2 linked regions of the Lepisosteus oculatus genome follow. Each later gene encodes a partner of the first gene's protein in a complex. Links are inferred from orthologs where the notes say so. Each region holds a gene or a part of one and is shown in the gene's direction. Other genes may lie near its edges.

Region 1 (7,019 bases):
TCGAAAGGCTGGGGGATTTTTTTTTAATATGCAAAATGTGTTGCAGTCTTGCGAGAAGGACATAAAGAGACCCTTTTTGCTAAAATGTTGAAACTGTGGTCTACCCGGCTATTTTCGTTAAATCGTGCGCCATCGAGTGACAAATTAAATGATGGCTTTGCGGATTTTCACTCTGTCAGATATGAGGTGGATACAGAGACGGACTTGTCAAACAGACTCGATCAGATATACCTTCACGTGCACTTCTGTTTTAACCGCAAGTTTTATATGGGTAAAGGAGAAACCAACATTCAAAACGATGGTCCAACGGTATTAATAATAATTAATAATTGCTTACACTTGTATAGCGCTTTTCTGGACACTCCACTCAAATATTAAAAGTATACTTATACTCAAGTATTAAAAAGCATGCCTAATTTCACAGATCCTAACTATCCCTAGTGCAATTAGTTCATCTAAATCAGTCTTAAGAGGTCAATTACAACGAACCTTCGGATTTAGCACTCGGCGGACTAGTTAATGCGGTGCTATCTGGAGATCATCTCCAGCTCTGAGCCCAGCGGGAGAGCAGCTGAACTTCTGCTCAGCGTTGGTGTTGTTCTAATTAGCACGACTGCAGGGGACTCCGAATCAGAACATTTATACTAATCTGATCAGCAAGTTAATATGTAGGCCACGATTATTACTTTTTTTTTCTCGTGTTAGTAAATATAACTGAATGTCCCTGGAAATTAAATGTTATTAAAATTTAAGAACGGCTTTTATACCAGATAAGGGTACGTAATTACTGACGCGGTACTCAATTGTAATTCATCACAAAATGAGAACAGCAGCAGCGGGCTGGAGTTTGAGCCCGTACTGTACTATAACCGCTTTTATTTTCATTGATAAATGATTCATACGGAAGTCAACACGTCGCTGTTTTGGTTTCGTGTGTAAGTTATATTTATACTATTGCGGACACGAATGTAAGTGTGGTGTCACTCAGGGGCTAAGTTTGTTGCACTTCATCTAAGAGTTTTTTTTAATGTATGTTTAACGGTCTTCACCGTTTGAGATGGTGAATTAGAATTTTAAGTTGTTTAAGTTGAGCGCTGACTGACAAAAGCAGGTAGTGCGTATTCCTTACAGCCGAGTTAGCACATCGTTACAACAAGCAACAGCTAATGTCCAATAGCTTTAGCAATTTTATTTCTGAAATATAATCACGGTTAATATACAGCAAGGTGCTGGTACACTGGAGTGAACTTCACCTGTAAGTAAAAAGTAAATTTACATTCGCAGCTCTAACAGGTGAACTTGGGAGACTTCGGGAACAGATCTTTTCAGGCACTTTCCTGCCGTTCCTCTGACCTTGTGAACCTTTGTAATTTTAAACACAGCGTCTTGCTGGCCTCTCCTGTGACCAGTGTGCCAGTCCACTGAAAGCCAGCACTGTCGCTGGGGCGTGTGCGGTCCTACACAATCTTGGTCTCGACTGGACGAGCCCCCTGCTCCGTCTCCAAGACTTTCCGCACATTCCGGCGGTTTCACCACCGTTTCTACTGGACCACAACCACAGATAAGAGAAGGGACGCTGTTCCGAATAAGTGTCTTAAATAATCACCTTTAAAAGATGACGGACGATGAGAGTTTTATTTTCTTTAATGCACCCTTACATTTGCCTAAACAAGTTATTCTCTGTACCCCAACACCTCCCCCCCCCCCCCCCCAAAGCCCTGCTTTCCCTGGGAAACACATAAAATACAACAGATCTACTAAATAACACCCAGATAATGACAGAACACGTTAAGCGTTACACTCCATTTAAATATGTTTTCTTAATTTAGACTCGCTGCACTCCCCAGGATATGTAAAAATTCACTATCGCATACTAAAGACCCTCCTGGCATTAGTTGTAGTACATCTGCTAATAAAAATAGATATTAAACTTCACTATTGATACATTTCACTTTTATTAACAAACGCATGTATTAGTCTAGCCTGCATTGCCTACACATCGTAACGAATTGCAACACACTGATAATAACTGCGCCTAAAAAAAACAATAACAGGCATTAAAAACTGAATTATTAATCTGGTTGTTGTAAATGAGATAACCTGTTTTTACATGTCACGGTTGTAAACACGGAAATGTCGCCGTTTTTCCTTCTTTAAGTGGGTTTGTTTTCTTTGTTTTGAAAAAGACGCGCTGTGAATGAATAATCACTGATTGGCGTTATTGATGGAGAGTGTGTTTCAATACGTTTGAATATCCGCAAATGCTACAGCTGCCTGTTGGAAGAATCGTTTGAACCAAGAAAGAAAGAACAACGTGGAAACATACTCAACTAGAAGGATTCTAGGAGCAGGGGAATCCTGCAGGGCCACAGGGTTCTGGGGGGTACATAATGGATCTAATTATATACTTTACTGGGGAACTCTAGTCCGTATCTGGGCCTGAGGTCTTACTAGGTATATAGATAACTGTACCGCCAATGAGATAAATGTTTCTAACAAAAAAAAACTTTCAAAGTCCTTAAGAGAGCTAAGAAAACAAAGAGGTTAATTGGCTTTTCGGACTGGAAGAAAAGACGCTGGATTGTCCCAGAACCGTGTCTGACACCCCTGACACAGATTTTAACCACCCGAATTAGTGAAGGCGAAGTGGGGTGTCCTTGAGTGAAGCTCAGGGGCCTCGATGGGTTTTTGGGGAGTTCCCAGGGACTGCGAGCCGGTTGCAGCGCGGTGATGGTACCGCCCTCTGCTCTCCTTGCCGCTCCTGCCCCGGTTCGTCCCCCGCCTCAGGGGCTCCTGTGCCGCCCAACAGGGATATTGCCGGCTGAGCTAAAAAAGGCCTCCGTCACTCCGGGCGGCCAACATTCTCGTTATACGCAGGGGAGCAGAGGGCGGTGTCATAACTGCGCTGCAACCGGCTCTATAACCCGTATGTCGGCCGTTAGTTATAGTTGTAAAAGGCCCGGCGTGAAATAACCTCATCACCTGTCGCTTTTTAACAATCTGATAACGTTATGTTGTCCGTTACTCATTATTTAACGTAGCAATTGGGCCCAACAGTAAAACACTCATAAAAACTGTTAATAAGACACAGGATGCAAATATTTACCAGCATGTCCACAGATGTACTTCGCAACAACACTCTCCGATTTGCATCGTATTTTTTTTGGTAATATATATATATACACATGGGAGTCGGAGGCTAATTTATAGCGAAACTAGAACATAAGCAGGGTGTACAGTTTGTCTAGCTACCGTCTACCTGCCTGCGTTATGAGCTCTTTCCCTCTTCATAAGACATCATGGGGCATCGGTTATGGATTAATAGGTTGTTGTTGTTTAAAGGAGACCACAAAAAAAGACAGCACAAATTTATTTAGCATGGGGAAGCGAGACACGACGCCTGTTGCGAGAAATGTGTCATGCCAGTGTGTCATGCCTCTTTACAAATAAACCCCCTATGTCCTTTAGGCTTCATTTCTTCCATCTTTCGTGGTAGTGGTCAGGCTCACAAAGTGTCCGGTCGCGGCCTCCTTCACGGAGCAGAACAGAGAGGCGGAGCGACGACCCGGAACGCGTGAACGGGACAATTAAACTGGACCCCAGTTTTTGAAAAGGGGCTGCTGCCCGCAGTTATTTTGTTACTTTGCAAAACAGCCACCTTAAAAGAAAAAGTTTTTTCCATGCTATACAATTTATCATATTATCTAACACTTATTACACGCCTTAGAATAGCAGGAGGCACAGTTACAGCAAAGGTAGTGAATGGTCCTTCTTCTTCACTCACACCTAAACACCTCGGAGGACCTAGTATTTGACATCAAAGCATAGGAGACACTAGGTATTAATTCATTATTATAAACATCGACGTAAAGTACAGTACCACAGTACACAACATGCAATCGGGATTTCTTCAGTGTTGTACCGGCTGCGGTTGGGAAGGGTTTATAACTCCTCCCAGGCAGTAGGCGTCGCTGTTACAGGAATAGCGAGGCCTCGAAAATAAATCAACCGATCTTGCCTGTTTTCTGCCATTGTCGGTCTTTCTACGCGCTGAGACAGAGCGAAGGGATGCCGTCTGGAGAATACGAGTAAGTCTGTGTGAATAAAATCACCTTTTACTGGCATTTAACTTAAAGTATTAAGTACGTTTCTGATCAGCGTTCTCTCTTTTCCCAGTTCTAAGCCCAGTTGGGCTGATCAAGTTGAAGAAGAGGGCGACGAAGGTGAGGAGGACCTAGTCGGAAAAGGTCTGAGCACAGGCCGAGAAGCACCCGTTTCACACGTGTGATGATTCAGTGTATTATGTAAAATACTAGAAATGCCATAAAATAGGCTCGCCAGCAGAGTGCTTACCTCACCGTAATGACAATACGTGTTTATTTTCGTTTTCACGAACAGCAGTTAAAGGATATTTGCAGCTGGTTACAGGACGATGGCTTAGTTTTACGTTGTACATTATTAAGGACCGTCGTAGGTGATATAATACACGCACTTCGAAATACTGGCAGCACCTTTGTAACCGTTAGAACTCTAAGACTATAAACAAGAGAGCTTTTTAGAAGAAGTGTTAATATAACGCTGCTATCGATCTCATCAGGACTGACTGAATACGGGTCTTCAAATATTACAATGTTTTTGAGATACAACTCTCTGTAGAAACTATTTCAAATACAAATGTCAATGCTCTGTAGCTGTCAATGATGACATGTCATAATTAACTAAGCCAATCAGTTTCCTAAGTTAATTAGCTTGACCTGTAACAATGTATATGTGTCCTGATCTATAGTCCTATAGTATCCCGAAGGAATACTGTATGTTTTAATTGAAGTGCTGCTGTTGTTTTTTTTTTTCAGGAACACTTCCATCGCCCAAAGAGACAATAAAAGGGAATATAAAAACTCTTACGGAGTATAAGATAGATGAGGATGGAAAGAAGGTTAAGGTGAGTTTTTGAAGAGTTGAACACTCTGCTCAGTTGTATGCAATTACCAGATAGGCTGTGCTCTGTGGTGTCTGGAAGAGATTAACAATCTTCAGAAAGTTCTCAGAGCTGACGTTCAGGGGTTTCAAATGGGTTTATCACGGAAGAGTAGCTATTTTTGGTCAGATTGCATTTGGGTATTAATTTTCAGATTTTGCGGTCAGGTTTTCAGTCCTACTGCTTAGGGAAGCAAAAGAGAGGTGAGAACACAGTGTGATTCCATCCTGACCTTTGGCTGCTGCTATTGGAGCATATTAAATACCCCCACCCCTGTGCTTCTGGGTTGATCCTGAAATGTTTCACAAGATGGGCACAGAACCATGTAATAGGCTTATTCCATGCTTAAAAAAAGAAGAAAGAGAACACAATGTTTCGGCCATGGAGCCTTCTTCAGGTGTCAAGGCTCCATGGCTGAAACGTTGTGTTCTCTTTCTTCTTTTTTTCAGCATGGAATAATCTATTACTTGTTCCTTTGCAGCCTACGCATGCTGACGCAGCTACCCACCTGAACTACTAATAGAACCAAGTGTTGTTTGTCCTTCCAGATTGTTCGCACCTTCAAAATCGAGACCAGAAAAGCATCAAAGGCTGTCGCCAGGAGAAAGGTACTGAGCTGTCTGACTGATGTGTGGGTGTGTTTAGTGTGTTTGCGTTCTGTCAGGCACGGCTGGGCTGTCCTCCCTTTGGTCTGTGAATGTGCACTTTAGTAATGTTTATTTTTGTGTCATTTGGCCCCGTTTCTCAAGTGAGCATTCTTCTGGGAAGGGGAGACCTCTTTTATTTAATGCTAGTGCAGGGAGTTCCCATCCCTAATCCTGTAGGACCTGACACTGGCCGGCCCATTCCAGCTGGGCCTGATTACATAATTGAAGCCTTATTTGGACTAACAAGCTGCTTGAGATGGAATATTGGCATTTTGTTTTTCTGCTCAGAAGTTTAGTTTAATTTATAAAGCGCAGCAGTCAAAAAGCGACATGTTTAAGATCTGAAAAGAGTCAAACAGTTCAAATCAGTTCTCTTATTAAGCAGTGAAGGGGTTGATTGTGCGAAGGGAATATTCAGCAGCAGTGGATACCTCTTTGTTTGGGTATTTTGATCTGTCTCTTGATGTCTGGTTGGTGTCTTGATGTCTCGATGAAGCGAGATTCGACTCCAAGGGCTTCCAAGGGAGATCTGATCCCTGGGTGGATCCTGACTCCAGGGTGATGTGGGGGTCTTGGGGTCGAGAATGGAAATAGATCAACTTGGGTGTTTCTTGTTTCATCTATTCACGAGTACCGAAGAGGGGATGGAGATCTTGCTGGTAAGATCTCCACGAGGTTTGCTTTATAACTTTTTTTTTGTTCCGGTTGATTACCAGAACTGGAAGAAGTTTGGAAATTCTGAGTACGACGCGCCAGGACCGAATGTGGCCACTACCACGGTCAGCGACGACGTCTTCATGACCTTCATTTCCAGCAAGGAGGTGAGCCGGTGGCGCGGTCGAGCAGCGGGCAGCCTGTGGCAGAAGCCGAAAAACCACGAAGCAAAAACCGAGCGGTGTGGTTCAGGCTTGCCTCAGGACAGCGATGCACGGTGGATGGCTAATAACGATCATTGATCAATTTGCTTTGATTATCACTGTTATCAAATTCCCATGTTACTTTGGCTGCATGTATTAGCGACTTTGGGTGTGGAATATCTCTGGCTTATTCATGTTTTCCAAAGCAGTTTAGGTTTTTAGCGGCACTCTAGACCCTCTGTTAAGCACTGCTTCAGAGTTGCAGTGGGGATTATCTTCTTAAAGTGTATCAATGGCATTGTAATAATCAGTTTAAAATCAAGGAGGCGTGGCCTGCTAGTGTGTTTCCAATAGCTGGTCTTTGAGTTAAGAAAGCAGAGACGTGAGAGACAGGGTATCTGATAGTTTTCTCTTTTTTTTCCCCCATTAGGATCTGAATAGCCAGGATGACCAGGATGATGCATTAAACAGGATAAGGTGCCAGAAAATCGTCTCCTGCCGGATCTGCAAAGGCGATCACTGGACCACCCGCTGTCC
Region 2 (6,831 bases), on another chromosome or scaffold:
GCCTGCAGCACTCTGCCCTATGTTGCCGCCAACGTCTCCCCATGCAGATGAAAGCCACTTGATGCTGACTGATTTTGACGGATTTTTTTTGCTCTTCTTTTCTGTCATCAGACAAAAGGCAGCTCTTTTCCCAGAGCTGAGCCTGCCTTGAGCCCTGGGAGGAGGAGAGGGCGAATTGTGCTCTGTTGAGTCGCCTGCACTTGTTTGCTGTATGTGCAGTTGTGCAGAACACACACAGTGCAGCCGGGGAGGGGGGGTGGGAAGATTCGCAGCAGTGGGGGCATGTCAAAGAAAACCAGTTATATTTAGAAACGGGTGAAGAAGAGGCAGGGACGTTTGGTGCGATGTGCAGCTGTTAACGACTAATAACCTTTTTTTTTTTGCTTTTGTTGGTTATAAAACCTGTCTTATGAGGGAGGGTCTGTTGTTTTTTTTTGTGTCTGTTTAGTCAATCAGAGACAAGCCCACAGTCTCTGTAAAATAACGGCTAACCTAGACTCTGATGCCCTCCCACACAGACCATCCACAGTTTTCAGTGCTGTACGATAGAACATAATAGATTACTCCAATAGCCCCTTACACACTGAAGACATTGCCCTTACTTTACAGCGTTTACTGTGTCCGCTGCTCTTTGTCATCGGAGTTGTGCTCTAAAAATTGGGTTGAGCTCCAAAAATTGAGAACATTAAAAGTTAATTAAATACAGTTATTGAGAATAAGAGATATTTCCTGCTGTAAACCAAAAAGAATATAACAGAATAAAACTAGAACTAACTAGCACATAATCTCTGAACTCATTTTAATATATTTGGGGGGACTCCAGTTTTATTTGATAATATTTGCATGTGGTTATTTTATTGAGGAAAACAGGAGAACGGTTTTGCAATACAGTCGACAGCTCTAAAGGTCATCCTGTTTTTCTGGTAGGAAGTCTTCTTCAACCAGACAACTGCCAAAACAGCGTTGCCATGCTAAATTCAGTCAATGCTAGTGTACGCTGTACAGGAAGTATGTGCAACATGCAATAGATGCATTTTGAATTTCTCGCCTATTTAAAGCAGTTCTAAAATTGCTGCCATGTCTTACATTAATAATACAAGGCTTTACTTTTTCAGAGAACAGTTGCCAGATTACTGATTAATGTAAGCTTCTCTTTCCTTATCACTCCTGTGCTAATGCCACTACACTGGTTACCAATGAGCTTCTGAACATGTGATCATTGTTCTATAATAGTCTATGCTATGCTGCATCAAGTAGGATCTGCTTAACCTGAAAGGCAACTGTGCTTGTTTCCAATCCAATTTTCTTTCCAGGTGGGGACAGACTCTTCGCTTACTGTTCTCTGCCTGCCTGGAATTCTTCTTTTCCCAGGTTGGCGTGGGAAATCTGAAACTTCACATTAATAGCAAAACTAGAAAGTGCAGCATATATTGAGTTGGTCACAAGAATGTGCCACACCCACAAGCATAATGTTTTGTCTTAGTGGACATTTCTGACCTATGGAACAAGTGAATCTCTTTGGCTTACAATAGAGGTTGTTTGTCACAGTGAGCACCCCTTTTCAAAGCTCTTTACACAGTCCTGACACAAGAGGACAATAGTGTACAGTGAACGGATTAGCCCCCGTGGCTTCTCACAGTTGGCTGGGAACTGGCTGGGTCACATGGGCTCAAGTGAGGACCAGGCTGTCCTCACTTTGGTTTGCAACATGGTGACTCCTGTAGACTTCATTCATTGGAATATCTGTTCCTCATGGGGTATGTTTCTAATTCATTACTGTTAGGTGACACAAGAATTCTGTTATGGCAGTCTTGCATATCCTAAAGAAAGTATTTTTCTACCTCAAAGTTTGGCAAAGCTTAATAGTTAATAATAATTTGGGATGGAGTGTGTCCTGCTTTTTTAATAGTCAGCTTCTGTGGGCAGACACCTCATTCACCCTTTATTTTTTAATTCTGGATGCCTGTAACTGACCAAGGCACCTGCAAACCTGCAAACTTGTGGTAATCTGCACAGATGCACAGAAAGGACTACACGGCAAGTTCAGCAGGACTACAATATCTCCAGGAGCAAACCTTTTCAACTAAACCACCACTGCATATTAGTAAAGACCCGCAAATGGAACCCTCTCAGAATCTAACACGGGTGCATATCCTGTGCATACTGCAATCAGTCGCGCTTCTGAGTACTCACATCAAAATAGCTCATTAAGAAATGCAATTGCTGCAGTAACAAATGCAGATGAGGCACAGTGTTAAGCAGCATGAGAATCACAGTATTTGTGTATCTAGTTGTATAATTGGTAAAAATATACTAGCTTAATGATTACTATCTGCAACGTGCTTGTAAATGTTACGACGAAACAGAACGGCACAGAATTCTGATATCACTCATGTTACTCCCAGGCCTTTTCTGCCTCATTCCCAAAAGATAATTAAAAAATATTTCAGTATGAAACACTAGCTTAAGAAGGAACGGAGATATGGGTATTCCATTTCCTCTTTATGACAGTTATGGAAACCAAGGAGTTTGGTTTAAGTAAAAAAAAAACTGCATTAGATGTTACACTGCAGTGGAAAATGTTTGAAACTATACAAATGTGTATAGTTGTACAGTAATTCCTTGCATTTGTATAGTATGTTTTCATCTCTTACAGGCAAGAAGAGAGTCACTCGCCTCCCTAATACAGGGCATCAATTCTGCTCCTGTGAGTCCTCACAGCACATCAGATGGAGACGGACCAAGTGAGAAGCCGGTTCAAACGATGAAATAAGGGAGGCCAGATTGTTGAGGCTCAGAGGGGTAAATTTCAGGACACCAGGTTTTAGAACCCTCCCCTTATAGTGTTAGGGGATCTTCAACAACCAAATAGTCTTAAGGTCTCAGAAAAAAAAAAACCATCTCACTAGATAATGCGTTAGATAATCTGAGGAGTGTTTAAATTAAATTGGTTTATCTTCACAGACATGGTTTTATGACACATCACACAGTAAACAACGATGCCTCTAATAAATATGAAATGCGGCTAACAACAGGTAGCGCGTTTATTTTGAAAGCACCTTCTGACCAATGTGATATGTTATCCTATCGTGAACATAATGCAGAACTGGACGCGATTGAAATTAAAGTGCACGTATCTCTGCTGAAGTCGTGTTCAGTCAGCTCCCCGCCTGCACCCCCGTGTTTTTCGCAAACCCACGGGTTCCGGTTTACTCTCGAATAGCTAGGGCTCGCAGCCGAAACTCCCCGGGACGATGCGGCCAGTATCGTTCATCCTCCTATAGATCTGCTCAATAAAACGCAGTACAGTTATTTGTATTATGAGCTCGCCTACAAGCCAATTAATTGTTTTAATACAAAACCATGTCAGAAAAAAACCGTATTGTTTTCATAGAGTGGGAACTAAATAGATTTGGCCTTTGGAAGTGAGCAGGAACTATTTACCGTTGCACCAGCTCGTACCACGTGGTAGGGGCGACGAGCTCACTGGAAGCCGACGAGCAGACCTGGCGGTCGTTAGTCCATACTGTCACCCAGGAGATGATTGGCTAATTCTAACACATCCCAAACCGCGAAGTATCAAGCCAGTGGAACCTAAGTTTTGATAGCTTACACGATCAGCGAACGTGAGCAAGCTTCCACTTCTCACTGGGTATATGACGTGTTAATGCCACGCAATAAATGTTCAGTGTTTATTCGCTTTTGCTGGGTTGTAAACTCGGATCAGAATATTTTTGACGGGGGGGTCGGAGACCAACTTCTGTCTCGCAGAACACATTGAATAAGAGAACAGACTCGCTTGGCTGACGGTCTGTGATCAATCAAGATCGCGAGCCCTCGTAGGCGCGAGGGGAGAGGTCGCCCTTCTCACGTGACCAGGGACAGTTCCGGTGTCACGGGTTTCTCGGTCCGATCTCTTCCTTTTTTCTGCTCGGCGGTCCCACGTGTGGTGTGTATCTAGGTTCGGACCGAACCTATCTGGGAGCTTTGGTACCAGCACAGCCCATCACCAGGAAGCGAGATATGGCCTCGACGTTCGAACAAATGCGAGCCAACGTAGGAAAACTCCTACGCGGCATCGACAGGTTGGTGTAGCAGAGTCTTCCATTATTCTGTATTAGATGTGTTGGTAAATTGGGTTTCTTTCAAACTGACTGGTCTCATCACTTCCTAACACACTGTTGGATTACACCGTGCTTTGTTATTTAATGGGTCGATGAGGAAAACTGCCAACATTTAATAAACTAGTAACCTATGATTATCTTTTAAACTCTTTTAAATTATCTTTTAAACTCGGGGCTTGTTTTGCGCCAAACAGAACTCTGGTTTTTATTTTAACGAAAGGCGAGAGACGTACTTTTTCACAGGTCGGCTTCTCTTATTCCTTAGTCACGGGAAGAACTTATTCTGTTAGCGAAATCATTTAGATCAGTGGCCTGTGTGCTCAGCGACTTGTATCGTCGCCGGGGTGATGGGTGGAGCGGCAGGAGGGGGGAGAGACGCTGTGCTGGGTCAGTACGTCCGGCTGTGGTCGTTGGAGCTGCATTTTCGCAAACTCAGCTGATTGCAGGGGGTGAAAGGGCCACAGACAAGCACCCCCTTTATAGCAGTTTGTAACGATATATCAGAAGGGGCAGCAGCCGTCTTTTGCAGCACAAAATAAACACCAACAGACACGGGAGCTCTTTTATTCCTGCAGCCATAACATTGTACAATGAAACTTAAGTTGCATCTGCAATTTCATTACATCTTGGGGGACAAAAAACAAAAGCTGGCCAGTTCTTCCTGGGCACAGTGCTGGTGACGGCCAGCTAGTGCTTCCTCTAACTGAGTCTGTTCTGCACAGGTATAACCCAGAGAATCTGTCCACACTGGAGCGCTATGTGGAGACACAGGCCCGGGAGAATGCCTACGACCTGGAAGCCAACCTGGCTGTACTAAAATTGTGAGTTGTGCTGCTACTCTATAACAATTAAACTGCACTTTCTTGTTGTTTGACACTCACACACTGCATTACCTCATTGTTTGCGTTCACCCCCTGACACGCTGCAGTGTCTCAGAGTGAGCCCGTTCACCCCCGACACGCTGCAGTGTCTCAGAGTGACCCCGTTCACCCCCGACACGCTGCCGTGTCTCAGAGTGACCCCGTTCACCCCCGACACGCTGCCGTGTCTCAGAGTGACCCCGTTCACCTCCGACACGCTGCAGTGTCTCAGAGTGACCCCGTTCACCTCCGACACGCTGCAGTGTCTCAGAGTGACCCCGTTCACCCCCGACACGCTGCAGTGTCTCAGAGTGACCCCGTTCACCCCCGACACGCTGCAGTGTCTCAGAGTGACCCCGTTCACCCCCGACACGCTGCAGTGTCTCAGAGTGACCCCGTTCACCCCCGACACGCTGCAGTGTCTCAGAGTGACCCCGTTCACCCCCGACACGCTGCAGTGTCTCAGAGTGACCCCGTTCACCCCCGACACGCTGCAGTGTCTCAGAGTGACCCCGTTCACCCCCGACGCGCTGCCGTGTCTCGGAGTGACCCCGTTCACCTCCGACGCGCTGCAGTGTCTCGGAGTGACCCCGTTCACCTCCGACGCGCTGCAGTGTCTCGGAGTGACCCCGTTCACCCCCGACGCGCTGCAGTGTCTCGGAGTGACCCCGTTCACCTCCGACGCGCTGCAGTGTCTCGGAGTGACCCCGCTCACCCCCTGACGCGCTGCAGTGTCTCGGAGTGACCCCGTTCACCTCCGACACGCTGCAGTGTCTCGGAGTGACCCCGTTCACCTCCGACACGCTGCAGTGTCTCGGAGTGACCCCGTTCACCCCCGACACGCTGCAGTGTCTCGGAGTGACCCCGTTCACCCCCGACACGCTGCAGTGTCTCAGAGTGACCCCGTTCACCTCCGACACGCTGCAGTGTCTCAGAGTGACCCCGTTCACCTCCGACACGCTGCAGTGTCTCAGAGTGACCCCGTTCACCTCCGACACGCTGCAGTGTCTCAGAGTGACCCCGTTCACCCCCGACACGCTGCCGTGTCTCGGAGTGACCCCGTTCACCTCCGACGCGCTGCAGTGTCTCGGAGTGACCCCGTTCACCCCCGACACGCTGCAGTGTCTCGGAGTGACCCCGTTCACCCCCGACGCGCTGCAGTGTCTCGGAGTGACCCCGCTCACCTCCGACGCGCTGCAGTGTCTCGGAGTGACCCCGCTCACCCCCTGACGCGCTGCAGTGTCTCAGAGTGACCCCGTTCACCTCCGACGCGCTGCAGTGTCTCAGAGTGACCCCGCTCACCCCCTGACGCGCTGCAGTGTCTCAGAGTGACCCCGTTCACCCCCGACACGCTGCAGTGTCTCGGAGTGACCCCGTTCACCCCCGACACGCTGCAGTGTCTCGGAGTGACCCCGTTCACCTCCGACACGCTGCAGTGTCTCGGAGTGACCCCGTTCACCCCCGACACGCTGCAGTGTCTCGGAGTGAGCCCGTTCACCTCCGACGCGCTGCAGTGCCTCAGAGTGACTCCGTTCACCTCCGACGCGCTGCAGTGTCTCAGAGTGACCCCGTTCACCTCCGACACGCTGCAGTGCCTCAGAGTGACTCCGTTCACCTCCGACGCGCTGCAGTGTCTCAGAGTGACCATTGTGGCTCTGCGCTGTCTCTCTGAGTCATGGTTCACTCTTGTCTGTACCACTTCTCATCAACTGAAGCTCTGTCTTTCCTGTAATGTTTCTGCAGGTACCAGTTTAACCCAGCCTACTTCCAGACCACAGTGACGGCTCAGATTCTGCTTAAAGCCCTGACAAACCTGCCCCACACTGATTTCACGCTGTGTAAATGCA

What was found. The genes of interacting proteins can lie anywhere in the genome.
Region 2: eif3g (region 1) and eif3k share a complex: the UniProt entries of both Homo sapiens proteins name them as parts of the eukaryotic translation initiation factor 3 (eIF-3) complex. The link is inferred for Lepisosteus oculatus from reciprocal best matches to the Homo sapiens genes EIF3G and EIF3K.

The regions. Positions count from the first base shown.
Region 1 is NC_090706.1:15,345,204-15,352,222, forward strand, and holds the start of eif3g (eukaryotic translation initiation factor 3 subunit G), read left to right. Parts: upstream 1-4,018; 5' UTR 4,019-4,068; coding exon 4,069-4,088; intron 4,089-4,176; coding exon 4,177-4,247; intron 4,248-4,853; coding exon 4,854-4,942; intron 4,943-5,526; coding exon 5,527-5,586; intron 5,587-6,341; coding exon 6,342-6,446; intron 6,447-6,912; coding exon 6,913-7,019. UniProt on the Homo sapiens protein: RNA-binding component of the eukaryotic translation initiation factor 3 (eIF-3) complex, which is required for several steps in the initiation of protein synthesis.
Region 2 is NC_090698.1:5,595,394-5,602,224, forward strand, and holds the start of eif3k (eukaryotic translation initiation factor 3 subunit K), read left to right. Parts: upstream 1-3,810; 5' UTR 3,811-4,023; coding exon 4,024-4,085; intron 4,086-4,846; coding exon 4,847-4,945; intron 4,946-6,727; coding exon 6,728-6,831. UniProt on the Homo sapiens protein: Component of the eukaryotic translation initiation factor 3 (eIF-3) complex, which is required for several steps in the initiation of protein synthesis.